Coturnix japonica: one gene and its partners. The protein of the gene in region 1 interacts with the protein of each later gene in a pairwise test. Links are inferred from orthologs where the notes say so. Each region holds a gene or a part of one and is shown in the gene's direction. Other genes may lie near its edges.

Region 1 (3,500 bases):
ATAGCGTTTAAAAACATAAATGGGATAATAGTGTAAATGGTTTAAATGGCCCTGACCCCAAGGCTGTAATTTGGGATATTTTTGATCTTTTTCACCTGGTGAGAAAAACAGTCATAGTAACAACTGTTGGGCTGGCAGGAGAAGTGTAGTCTGCAATACATAAGCAGCATTCAGGACTGATGAACCTGAAAGATAAGAAGTTCCCCCTGTTTTAATAGAAACCTTTCCTTCCGAGTGCTAACTGCCAATTCACTTATTTTTGGTGCAGTCTGGTTGCAAACATGTAAACAGCCATTTATTTTAAGCTGCCAGATTTGCTTTATTTTAAATATATTTTCATAAGCAGTTAGAATAGGATATTTAATCAAACTATACATTTCTAATAATAGATTTGCTTCTACTAACTATGCCACTTTTCTTTTTCAGAAAATTGATGTTACAAATAAAGCTGTAGCAGAGCTTCTGTCAAAATCCACGGAGTATCTTCAGCCAAATCCAGGTAAACTAGTAACAATAGGGGTCAAATTTTGTTGAAAATTATCTTCTTACTCTGAATTTCATCCTAAGTAGATAAAGGCTGATTGGGTCATTATTGTGAGGCTTCTGGATGTCCTAGAGTGCCTCACCTGTGTGCACAAAGAACTGTACTGTACAATGAAGCTATAAAGTATACATGCATCCTTGGATGTGTTCAGTTTGGAACACACATTGCATGGGACTTACTGGGCACGTGTAGGTTGTATGTGCATGACATGTATTGGATGGCCTGGGATGGTAACGGCACTGGTGTACCTATTTGTGCTGCATTTCCTGCAGTGGGATATGGATCCCTAAAGTGAAGAGAATGTCCTTGAATTTAACTTGTGCACTGCTGCCATCAGGGGTACTGCTGGTTATGTAGCCATGGGGAGCAGGGCTGTTACTTGCCTACCCAGTGTCTGAGTGAAGCTTTGCTTTTCCTGGACACTGTAAGGTCTGAGTGGATTTTTGGTAGTCAGTTAACAGGCTTCTAAAATTTTGGTTTGAGAAAAGGAAAGAAGGCATATTTACATCTACTCTTGATCACAAAGATGATCTGTTAAGAGTTGGAATTACTGTCCAAACCATCTGCTGGAAGAGCCTTCATTTTTTTAGAACTGTCTGACTGGATTCATGTTTAGTCTGCTGAATGTGATGAATTCAGAGATAGCTGTTTGTACTGGGTGCCTCACAAGATGCACATCACCAGAGAAGTTCAATATGTTGCTAATGCCTACAGGAGAAGCAACTAATGGGTTGTGCCTACTACAGGATGAGAATATTCAGCACTTCAGCAAAGCCCAGCTAAGGGTATTCAAGATGCAGTTTGTCACCATCCATGGCTCACATTTTTTAGGATATGTCCTAATGTTGGCTATTACTATGTCAAAGAAGCTGTTGAGTTGATAGTAGGAGTAGACTGGAAAACATTCCAAGAATAACTGCGTGGTTTTGTCGTGATATGATCAGCACCAAAATAAATTGATTTGCATGCATCTGTCTTTTCTGCAAAAATAGAAAAAAAAACAAACAAAAAACCCTCTGTCTTGAGTATTGGGACCACTAAAACAGTGGGGAAAAGAAGTCCTACAAAGTCCTCATAAGCAGGAGTGTGAAACTGGCATTGGCTGTACTTACAGGAGCCCATACTGTGTTTGCTATTTGCACTGTTTTTAATAGACTTCACAAACAGAAATACCCAGGGGAATGTGAATGTTGGTGAATATCCGCAAGAGGTGGCAGGCATTACCCCTGTGTGTCTGTCTGGAGAAATGCTGCCCATCCAGTTGGGAACAAAGCAATTTCATATGACCCTTACTGTTGAATGAGATCTACTTTTGACTATTAAATACTGTCAACAAAAGACTCGTGGATCTACAAACCAGCTTAGTGATTTGCTTTGTGAGATTGCTTGTTAAATGATTTATTGCTTTGAATAATTTAAAACTTGTTTTTATAACTCTTGTTCTTCTTCATGTTCATGTCCTTTTTAGCATACAGAGCCAAGCTGGGAATGCTGAACACTATGTCAAAGATCAGAGGACAAGTTAAAACCACAGGCTATCCTCAGACAGAAGGACTCCTAGGAGACTGCATGATACGGTATGGCAGAGAGCTTGGCGATGATTCTATGTTTGGTGAGTTTGTGTACCTCCTTTGAGAATATTTCCATATAAAGTTCTTCACAGAATATTACTCAGTGACGTAACCTGTGTAAATAGCTAATCCAGGTAAGAGAGCAAGCTATGTACAGGGGTTAGGGAGTGACTGATACAGTAATACCCAATGCTTCTGTGTATTTGTCCATCTCTGTTGCAGGTGTAACTAATTCTGTTTCATGGTTCCTATTATAAAAACAAATATCTTGTTTCTAAGTTGCCAAGGAATAATCCAGAGCAATCCGTAGATGCAATGTATTTTTTTAAGTACCTTTAAATAAAAATGGTTTTCCTATATCTGAGAAGTAAAGATTTTCTCGAGGAGGTGGAGGGGGGAGAGGGAAAGGCAGTTACTTTCCGAAGGCCTACAGCAGATACAAATATACCTCCTTGAAAGAACTGTATTATAAGACGTGGTTTTTGTTTGTTTTTCCTGAAGGGCTTAAGGGGAGATGGGGGAGAGGAACACAGGGTATGTTTTGGAGCAGAATTTTCCAGTACTAATTTTCTGCAGGAGAAAAGCAAGTGCATTTTTATTTTTATTTTTATTTTTTTTATTTTCCAAGGGCTACAGCAAATGCACAGTTGCCCACTTGAGTTTTATTATAAGATGCATTTGTTGTCTCATGCTTACTGAGATATAAGCAGCATATTCTTTACCATAGGCCTTGCGCTGCTGGATGCTGGTGAAAGCATGAAACAATTGGCTGAAGTGAAGGACTCGCTTGATATTAATGTCAAACAAAATTTCATTGATCCCCTACAGTTATTGCAGGATAAAGATTTGAAAGAGATTGGGGTAAGTTTGTCCGGATTATTTACCAATAATCAGAGTAAATCAGGCTCCAGTTCTCTGAGAGGCTTTTTTGGATGCCTAAAGGTAAATAAATGTCATAGCATTTAAGCTTATTTCTCTAGCAAAGTAGTGGCGAAATCTGCTTATAGTCAATGTCTGGCTTTTTTTCACCATAGTCTAGCTTTCTTAGTTTGCAAATCCCCATACATTCAGTTCAAGAAGATAGTGAAGAAAAATATATTCATTTTCTACTGTTTTGTTTTGACCAACATTTGTTATTAATTGATCTGAACACATGAGTAAGCTGTGATTTACTGTGACTGATTATTCTGTCTTGCTGCCTCAGTCACCAATAGCTGTTTATTATAGAGGCTGAAGGCTCTTCAGAGCAATCACAGAGCGATCTGAAAAGTGCCATCAATTGCTGAGTGCCATATCCCACTATGGGGAAAGATACAGGATGCTGAAGAATATATTTTTAACCTTTAATGTGAGGTTTTGTTTACAAAATGACAGTTCAAAAGAAA
Region 2 (4,082 bases), on another chromosome or scaffold:
TTATCTTTGCTGGTCTTTTGCCCTAAATTTAGCAGACAGAAGGGCTGCCTTCTCTGGGGAATGCACTGCATGAAGCAGTCTACAAGAGTCCCTGATTTAGGAACAAGCAACACAGTGACTGAGGCTCTAAAAGTTGGCTTCTCCAGAGCCATTTTCTGGTTTCTAAACTGCTTCCTCCTTGATTTGAGGATTGTACTCCATGGGAAAGTTGTGTCTTAAGAAATAAACTACTTAGTAAAAACGAGCCTCTGTGTTTGAAGAGAAAAACCAAGTGTACCTCTAGGAGGTCTGTCAGCCTCAGTGTGTGTGAGGGAGAAGGAGAACTGCGCCCACCATTCTCGGGATCTGCTGTATCAGATCAGCTGGCACAGCGGAGCTTTCACAGCCCCATCTGTGGGAGAAAAGCATCCTCGGCCAACAGGTGAGACGGGCTCAGGGTGCTCTCTAAGGAGAGCAGTGCCCTCTATAGCGCAGCCGGAGCATTGATCGAGCACTACAGTTATGTCGAGCAGCTTCTGCTCTACTTTATGCCTCTCCCCAGAACCACTTAGTTACGGTGTCTATTAGAAATCAACTCATTAATAACGGGCATTAATAATGAGTAGTTACTAATAGATTTTTGAAGGGAAATCTGTCTTATTTTGTTGTCTGTGGGGACTAGAGGAGCTTCAGTGTGTGCTTATAGAGTATCAGAATGACCCTGATTTGGGGTATTATCAAAGTCCCTGTTCTTTATTATTTATAAAGCTGTGCACTTAGGAGACGTCAGCCATCTGTTGTTTATTTTCCCCTGATCCTTTACTTATCATCTGACCACTGAGGTTGTAGAATGAAGCCTCAGAAGCTCATCTTATGTCACCAGGGTCCTTCACACAGCCATGCCAAAGAGACAAGTACCTGTGTGGAGACTTATAGAATGCTGACAGAAGACATAAAAGGCATTGAGAAAAATGAGAGCAAACACAGAGGCACATACACTGCTGACATCTGCCTTGCCCTCCTGTGAAACCGGCATGATGTACCCGAGGATGGCGAGCTGATCGATGCAATTCTCCAGCACAGCAGTGAGCAGCAGAGCTTCCAGCCGAGGGAGCTTCTCCATTTCTTTAGTGCCTGTGCTCTTGTAAAGAGGAATAAAGAGGAATAGAGGTGGGATGGTGTTAGTAACACTAAACCAAAGCCCACCCCTCTCCCTCACCGCTCAGTACCGTTCCGCGGCGCTCAACGCGACGCCGTCTCCATGGCGCCCGGGGTCCTGGCGGGGCTGTCCCTGCGGGTGCCGAGGCCTGTTCCCTCATCGCCGCCCGGAGGAGTAACGGGACTCACGGACATGGCGAGGGACGACAAAAGGCACCGATATCGGTGCACACCCAGCGCTGTGTCGGCCCGTACCGTGTGCGCTCAGGCTGTGACACGGGCAGCCCGCAGCCGGGGCCCTTAGAGCCGCAATCCCGGCGGGCCGCGCGCCGCCTCGTCCTTTGGCCGCCATCTTGGCTGCGCGCCGTGCTGGTGAGCGGGGTGCGGCGGGCGGGGTGTTGTGTCGGGCGTTGTGTCGGGCGTTGTGTCGGGCAATGACCATCCCGGCGGCGGCGGGGACACCGGGGCGGGGCGGATGGCGGGGTGTCGGGTGTGGAGCGGGCGGGATGGCGCCGATACACGGCGGATGGTGTCGGCTCTGGGGCTGAAGGGAGCTGAGGTGCCGGCGGGGCCTTGCGCTGTGAGGAGCCGGAGCCGGCCCGCTGCAGCCCGCGGTGCTGAGGCCTTGTCGGGCTGTGGGCACTGAGCGGGGTGTGTTGTTTGTAGGCTGAGCTGCCGGGACTGCGCTGCACGAGGACGCCATGACCGGGAGGTGAGTGTCTGCCTGTGTCTGTACGGCTGGATGGGGAGCTGCGCTGTGCTGACGGCACCGCTGAGTCTCTGCTGTCCCAGCACGGCGCTGCCCGGTGCACACACAGGGCGATCTCTGTGTGTGTGTGTTACATCGCTACGTTTGTGTTGCTCTCTTGAAACCCCTGTCTTCAGCTGGCTGTAGCAGTTCAGCCTTGAAGGGAACATAGAAACAGAAGGGGGGACCAACTTCTTACATGGCCTAATAGATTTCTGTGAGATGTGAAGATGTTTTTATACTCATTAAGCATTGAGGAACCAGCAGTGCTACCCAAAGCTGTGGGTGCCCCCTCCCTGCAGGTGCCCAAGGCCAAGTTGGATGGGCCCTGGGCAGCTTGAGCTGGTGGAGGCATCCAGCCCATGGTACACGGTGGGCTTTGAGGTCCCTTCCAACCAAAGTTTAATGTGTTAAACTGAGTTAATCTGTTCTTTCTCCATGTCTTTAGGTTGTGGTGCAAGGCCACTTTTGCTGGCTACAAACGTGGCCTCCGGAACCAGCGGGAGCACACTGCCCTGCTGAAAATTGAAGGTGTTTACGCTCGCCAGGAGACAGAGTTCTACTTAGGCAAGAGATGTGCCTATGTCTACAAAGCTAAGAAGTAAGTTGGTCGTCTTTTATTATCTTTTGCAAATGCCGGGATGTGAGCAGTCAGTTGGTTGGCAGCAAATTGAAGCGAGATGAGTTTGTGGTGATCATTGAGTTTTTGAGATCCTTAGAGGTGGAATATTTTGCCAGGCAAAAAGAAGTTGATAGAGCAGCCCTTGTGTGTGTGTGTCACAGCTCTGCTGTGCCTGCAGTGGTAGAGGCTTTAAGAACAATTGTTTATTGTCTTCTGCTTGATTTTTCTTTGAGAGTGGTTGTTCTGATGTCAGATGTGGAATTCCCTGTAATAAATTTGTCAGGCTGTTCATCACTGCTGTCATTTCAAGGGTGGCACGTGGCTTCTTGTAGCTGCTGCCTGTCTCGATGCCTGAGGCCCTTTGTGCCTGTGGTGTGACTGGAGAAATCCTACGTTAAGATACTCCAGGTTCATTCCAAAGGAAACACACTGAGTTCTGTGTCTTTTTGTTCCCTCAGCAACACCGTCACCCCCGGTGGGAAACCCAACAGGACGCGGGTGATCTGGGGGAAGGTGACCCGCGCCCATGGGAACAGCGGGATGGTTCGTGCCAAGTTCCGCTCCAACCTCCCCGCCAAGGCCATCGGACACAGGATCCGAGTGGTGAGCAGCATTAGGAACCAGGGGCTCCTTGTCAGCCTTTGGGCTGCCTCGTAATCTCATCTTGCACCATTGCTTTTTGTACTCTGCCTCATTTCCTACCTAGTGGCAAGGGAGCTGCGGCATCAACTTCTCTTACTCCCCATATAACTGCATGAGCTGCATGGCAGAGTCCTCAAAGTAGGCATGGGAAGGCTGAGCAGGAGAGTGACTGCTGGGTGGGAGCTTTGATACCATCAGATGCTGCTTCACGTCACTCAGCTCCTTGTTAGACTTTCCTGCCCCTTTTCTGCATAAATGGGAGTCACTTAAAATAGTTGAAGAGATCCATGATTCAGATGATAGCTATAAATTTGCTGACTTGTACAGTCCAATAACAGGAATTCTAACGTGATTCTGTTGTTGTGTTTTTCAGATGCTGTATCCATCCAGGATCTAAATTTTTATTGGAAATAAAATACAGAATAATCTGTTCCATTTTTGTACTTTCCTCTTTTTCATCCCCTCCACCTATATTGAGAGCTTTGATTCTTCAGTAGTGTACCACAGTACACAGCACACTGATGTAGGAGTGACTCTAAACTAGCTCCTAAGCTGGAGATTTGACCCGTACTTGTTAAAGGCATCTGTTGAGCAGGCTGCCTTTGAAAAGGCAAATAACTGCCAGCCTTTATCATTGCCTCCAATGTAGAATCTGAATGGCATGTAGGTCCAAACAATAAATGTTTGCAGTCTTTGTAGACCGTGCCCCCAAGTTTTCTATAGAAAATGAGAAATATTTCCTTGTCTCGTGTGTGTGAGTGTGAGGTTTGTCAAACAGAAAGGCAATGAAAGTGGATTTAAAGATTCTTAAAGTGCGATTTTCTTAGTGCATAAAAAGATACCGTATGACTTTAAGGGAAGCTTCGGGCAGCTGCAGGTTGTCATGGCTGCTGCTGATGTCATAGTCTTCTTTCACTCCCCAAAGGAATCATC
Region 3 (4,239 bases), on another chromosome or scaffold:
TAAATGGCAGCCTTACTCAATGGTAAGACTTGCTGGTCACCAGGACGAGCCAAAAGTTGTGACTTGTCTTCTAGAAAGCCAAGGCTTATAGGTAATTAAATACAGGCTATTTGGTTTAGAATTTTTTTGGTATGTATGAAATTAGAACTCTGCAAGTATCCTGAAAATGTCAGCTTGACATCTGAAGTCTGCATTTATTACCAATCAGCAAATGTCATCGGTGGGAGCGATGCTGTACAGGATGGCACACTGGGCTCAGAATCTTGCTTTCTCCAACTGCTCAGGTGATAGGTCAGTGGGGCTTTGGTTTTGTTTTTTCCTTGCTATGGACATTTCTGCTCCTCCGATGGACTTGCTGATTTCTGCAGAATTTGTGCTCATGAGAATTCCTTGGCCAGCTTGTGAGTCCTGCTCATAATAAGGGCATGGTTTGGAGCACAGCTGCCTTCAGCTACAGCACAGTGCTTTCAGACGCATTTGAACACATTTGATGTTTAGGTTTCAGCATTGTTTGACTGTTTTGAAACATGAACATGATTCTTTGGGTCTCTGATCAAATGGATGTGCATCTGGAAGGTGAGTCAGTTGCAAAAATGGATGTTTTCGTAAATAAAATTGAAGACTTCATTTTGCCTTACTCTCGTTGGGTGCACTCTTAAGGTCGTCATTGTGATACAAATCTCAGTCATCACAAGAAAGATTTGAAAGTGGGGCTTCCTATTGTTGTACAAACCTTAATCACTACAAAAAAGTGGTTGGAACTGGGGCTGCTTCTTGTACAGAGGGAGCTTGGATGTGAGGACATGAAGCACACCAGGCAGCCTGAGGTTTTATGGCAGCTGCAGGGATGTTGTTGGCACTTCTAGGGCTGAGTTGAAAGGGACAGACTGTTACATCTCAGTTTGCAGAGCATTAAGAGTCTACGAGTTAATTTAAAGGCATTTTGAAGTGTTGAGGTTGTTATGTGTTCACTGATTTGTGTGTGGTTACTGGTTTTAAGGGGCTGTGTGTGGCTGGTGCTCTCTTACAAGCACATAAGCTGTAAGTAGAGACTGAGAACTGGGCCTTGTGGGCAGCTGTTTGGGTGACCCTCAACAGAGAAGGATGGTGGCAGTGTGGAGAAACCAGGCCTAGAGAATTGGCTGCAAAAATTGCCTGGAAGTGCAGTGAAGCAGTTTAGGTTCTCTGCACCAATAGGTTTTGGAACTTCCCTTAGCTACAGGACTCTACTTGAGAGAGAATATTTTTGGATTTTTGTAATGACACAGCATTAGTATTTTCTTTGTTTTGCCATTTATTGTAGGTAACCTTTTTACCCATTTACTGATATTGCTTGTAGGTCAGTAATTTGAGGGATAGATGCTATAGGCTCCGTTACTGCTAAGTTTGAGCTCTCTTTGCTCTCATTCTCAGCACAAAGTTAAATTGGGTTTTTGAATTCTTATTTGTTAAGAAATCAATCCTTTTCAACATTTCTTAATTGTTTCTTTTGTCTGTGTTTTCTTTCAGAGGTCGCAGCAGTGGCAAAGGACCTCCTCAGCCCACAGTGAGTATTTTTTCCTTGTTGTTTCCTCTTTAGATACAAGGAAACATCTTTTCTGATGACCTTTCTTAGCAGTGTGAAAATGGCACATTGTGGAATACTCATAATTTTTTTTTCCTTTTGATACCTCAATGAGTATTTTAGACTTTTTTTTTTTTAAATGTAGAATATCTTGCATTCATCTCAGTCTCTGATTCTATGATCTAAGTCTCCTGGGAGAACGGGGAGAGAAGGAACTCTTACACGTTTGAAACATGCCAATAAAAATCTTTCTTGTGATTATAATTGCAAATACATGGATAAAATTTAACTTGGGAACAGATTCAAAAGTGTTGCCTCTGTGGAAACTCTCTATACTGACTTCTTTAAACAGAGGACTGAAGATGGTGAGACAACACTATGTTAAAGTGAAGTAGCAATTGTGTTCAGCTTTACTACAAAATAGCTAACCCAATGTTATTGTAGCTAAGCCTCTGTTACCTGTGTTTGTAGCTTTAGTTATTGTCGAGGCTAAAACACTGTTGCACTCTAGATGTAACTTGGTTTGTAGAATGTTTTGTGGAAGGTGAAGATCTGGGTCTTGATTTAAAAAACGGATCTTTGAACTGCACTAATCAAATATTTGCTAATTTGGTAGTGGCTTGATTCTCAAGGATGACTAATTCTAGGGAATGGGGCAGGAGTAGGAAGGGCTGAAAGGACTACAGTTTACCTCTGTAAGTGTATATTGAAGATAATGAGTCTCTTCAGTAAAAATAAAGAGGCTATGAGGGAGAGCAGTGAAAAAGGTGATGCACAAGTAGGAAGTGTTAGGCTTTCTGTATGTTAGGCTTACTGAGTGTTGAGCACAGGACCATCCTTAAACGCATTGGTTCCCATGTTCTAGAACTGTGGTGAATGTTTTTTGACTAGTTTTATAATAGGCCTTGTAGCTCTTTAGCAGTTCACAACTTGATGACTTCATCTCCTGTTAGTGCATGTTATCAAGTCTGTTTGCTGCAAAGATGTAGTTCAGGGAACATTTCTCCTACTGCAGCAGTTGAGGTGCCTTGTTCCTGTTCCCAGGGAGGGCTGCTAGCAGGGCTTCCCAGTTGTGAGACTTGGTATGTGAGTTCTACCCCAGTTTACATTGGGTTGAGGCACACTGTAAGGTTTCTCATGTTTTTAAGGGTGATCTGATATTTAATCGATCAGAGAAAGGGTAGAATCCTCTGGGCATTTGCTGTGACTTAAATTCAATGTATACTGACCAAGTAAGGTTTTTTGACCATTGTCTTTCTAGCAGCTACTATTTACTGCTGAGAGCTGACTTTGTTCTTGTCTCATTGCCTTTCTGAATTATGAGTGTTTCCCATAAAAATGACAACTTCATTATTATATTTTTTTTTTTCAGATTTCTTTTGATGGCATCTATGCAAACATGAGAATGGTTCACATACTTACATCAGTTGTTGTAAGTCTTCATATTTGCAAGGCGTGTAAACAGTTTCTATAGTGACAGAGAATTGTTAAATATTACACTAATTGTAATATAATGGAGTGAATATTAAAGTTCAGCAGTGGGCATCTTGTTCCAAGATTGAAATTTAAACAGTCATAGTAATAGCTATTGTGTATTTTTGGCTTGGAAAACTGCAGATTATATTTGGGATGGCAGATTTCTTACGCTCATTGGTCGTGTTTTGAATTTTCTGTCTCCAGAGAGATTATGAATAAGCAATGAATTTATATATAGGGAATAGAAACCCTTCATCCCTTGTGTTAAAAACTTGGTGATACGGACCGTCCCATGGCAGCTGGAATCTGGGATAAAACTTAACCTTACCTGTACCTGTGCATATGCATGGATTTGTTTTTGCACAGAGACTTGTTTGCATGCATGCATAGCTAATCAAAAGTCTTGTGTGTGCTGAAAATACTTCCGTGAGGATCTTTAATAAAGTCTGGGACATACCAAAGTGTTTGTATCTGTGGCATGCAGAGACATATTTGTAAATGGGCGAATGTTGAAAAAGTAGATTCAGCTGAAAGCTAAGCTCTGTTTTTACCCATTGTGCTTCTGTAAATATATATTCTTTGAGAAAATCACTTGTGTCATTTGTCAGGCTTGACAGAGTGCTACACTTGGATTTTTCTTGCATTCTAGGGATCCAAATGTGAAGTACAGGTGAAAAATGGTGGTATATATGAAGGAGTTTTTAAAACCTACAGTCCTAAGGTAAAGGCTTTTTTTTCCTTTTTGACTCTTCCCTCTTTTGAAAGGTACTAATACAGTATAATCAATTCTTAATTAAGTTGGAATATTTATTATCAATTATTCTGACTGATCCATGTCAAATTTTACACATGCAGATTCACTTTTGCAAATTTCTGTAAATGTGTGCTTTTTTTTCAAGGATGTGAGTTACCAGTAGTGTGTGGTGTATCCAATTAGGATATTCTTTTTATCTTTACTAGTGTGATTTAGTGCTTGATGCTGCTCATCGGAAAACTGCAGAATCCAGTTTGGGGCCAAAACGTGAAGACATACTAGAAAGTATTTTATTCAAGTCTTCAGATTTTGTTATGGTGCATTTTAAGGATATGGATACCAATTACGCAAGAAGAGGTATACATTTTTCTTTTAAGATTCTTAAAGTTATCTATGTCTTAAGATTGTAAGTCAAGATTTCAAAAGGTTTTTTTTTAATGCTTTT

The links.
Region 2: the proteins of SH3GL3 (region 1) and RPL35A interact in a two-hybrid assay, tested with the Homo sapiens proteins (2 studies listed by BioGRID and IntAct). The link is inferred for Coturnix japonica from reciprocal best matches to the Homo sapiens genes SH3GL3 and RPL35A.
Region 3: the proteins of SH3GL3 (region 1) and ATXN2 interact in binary tests that used the Homo sapiens proteins (3 or more experiments, as listed by UniProt). The link is inferred for Coturnix japonica from reciprocal best matches to the Homo sapiens genes SH3GL3 and ATXN2.

What each region holds. Positions count from the first base shown.
Region 1 is NC_029525.1:10,189,253-10,192,752, forward strand, and holds part of SH3GL3 (endophilin-A3), read left to right. Parts: intron 1-426; coding exon 427-499; intron 500-2,012; coding exon 2,013-2,156; intron 2,157-2,842; coding exon 2,843-2,976; intron 2,977-3,500. UniProt on the Homo sapiens protein: Implicated in endocytosis. May recruit other proteins to membranes with high curvature.
Region 2 is NC_029524.1:13,176,445-13,180,526, forward strand, and holds RPL35A (60S ribosomal protein L35a), read left to right. Parts: upstream 1-1,399; 5' UTR 1,400-1,509; intron 1,510-1,803; 5' UTR 1,804-1,838; coding exon 1,839-1,849; intron 1,850-2,333; coding exon 2,334-2,486; intron 2,487-2,965; coding exon 2,966-3,110; intron 3,111-3,522; coding exon 3,523-3,546; 3' UTR 3,547-3,582; downstream 3,583-4,082. Other genes in the region: IQCG (dynein regulatory complex protein 9), read right to left, coding at 977-1,120, 1,209-1,298.
Region 3 is NC_029530.1:5,336,603-5,340,841, reverse strand, and holds the start of ATXN2 (ataxin-2), read left to right. Parts: upstream 1-1,439; 5' UTR 1,440-1,546; intron 1,547-2,936; 5' UTR 2,937-2,963; coding exon 2,964-2,996; intron 2,997-3,689; coding exon 3,690-3,761; intron 3,762-4,000; coding exon 4,001-4,151; intron 4,152-4,239. UniProt on the Homo sapiens protein: Involved in EGFR trafficking, acting as negative regulator of endocytic EGFR internalization at the plasma membrane.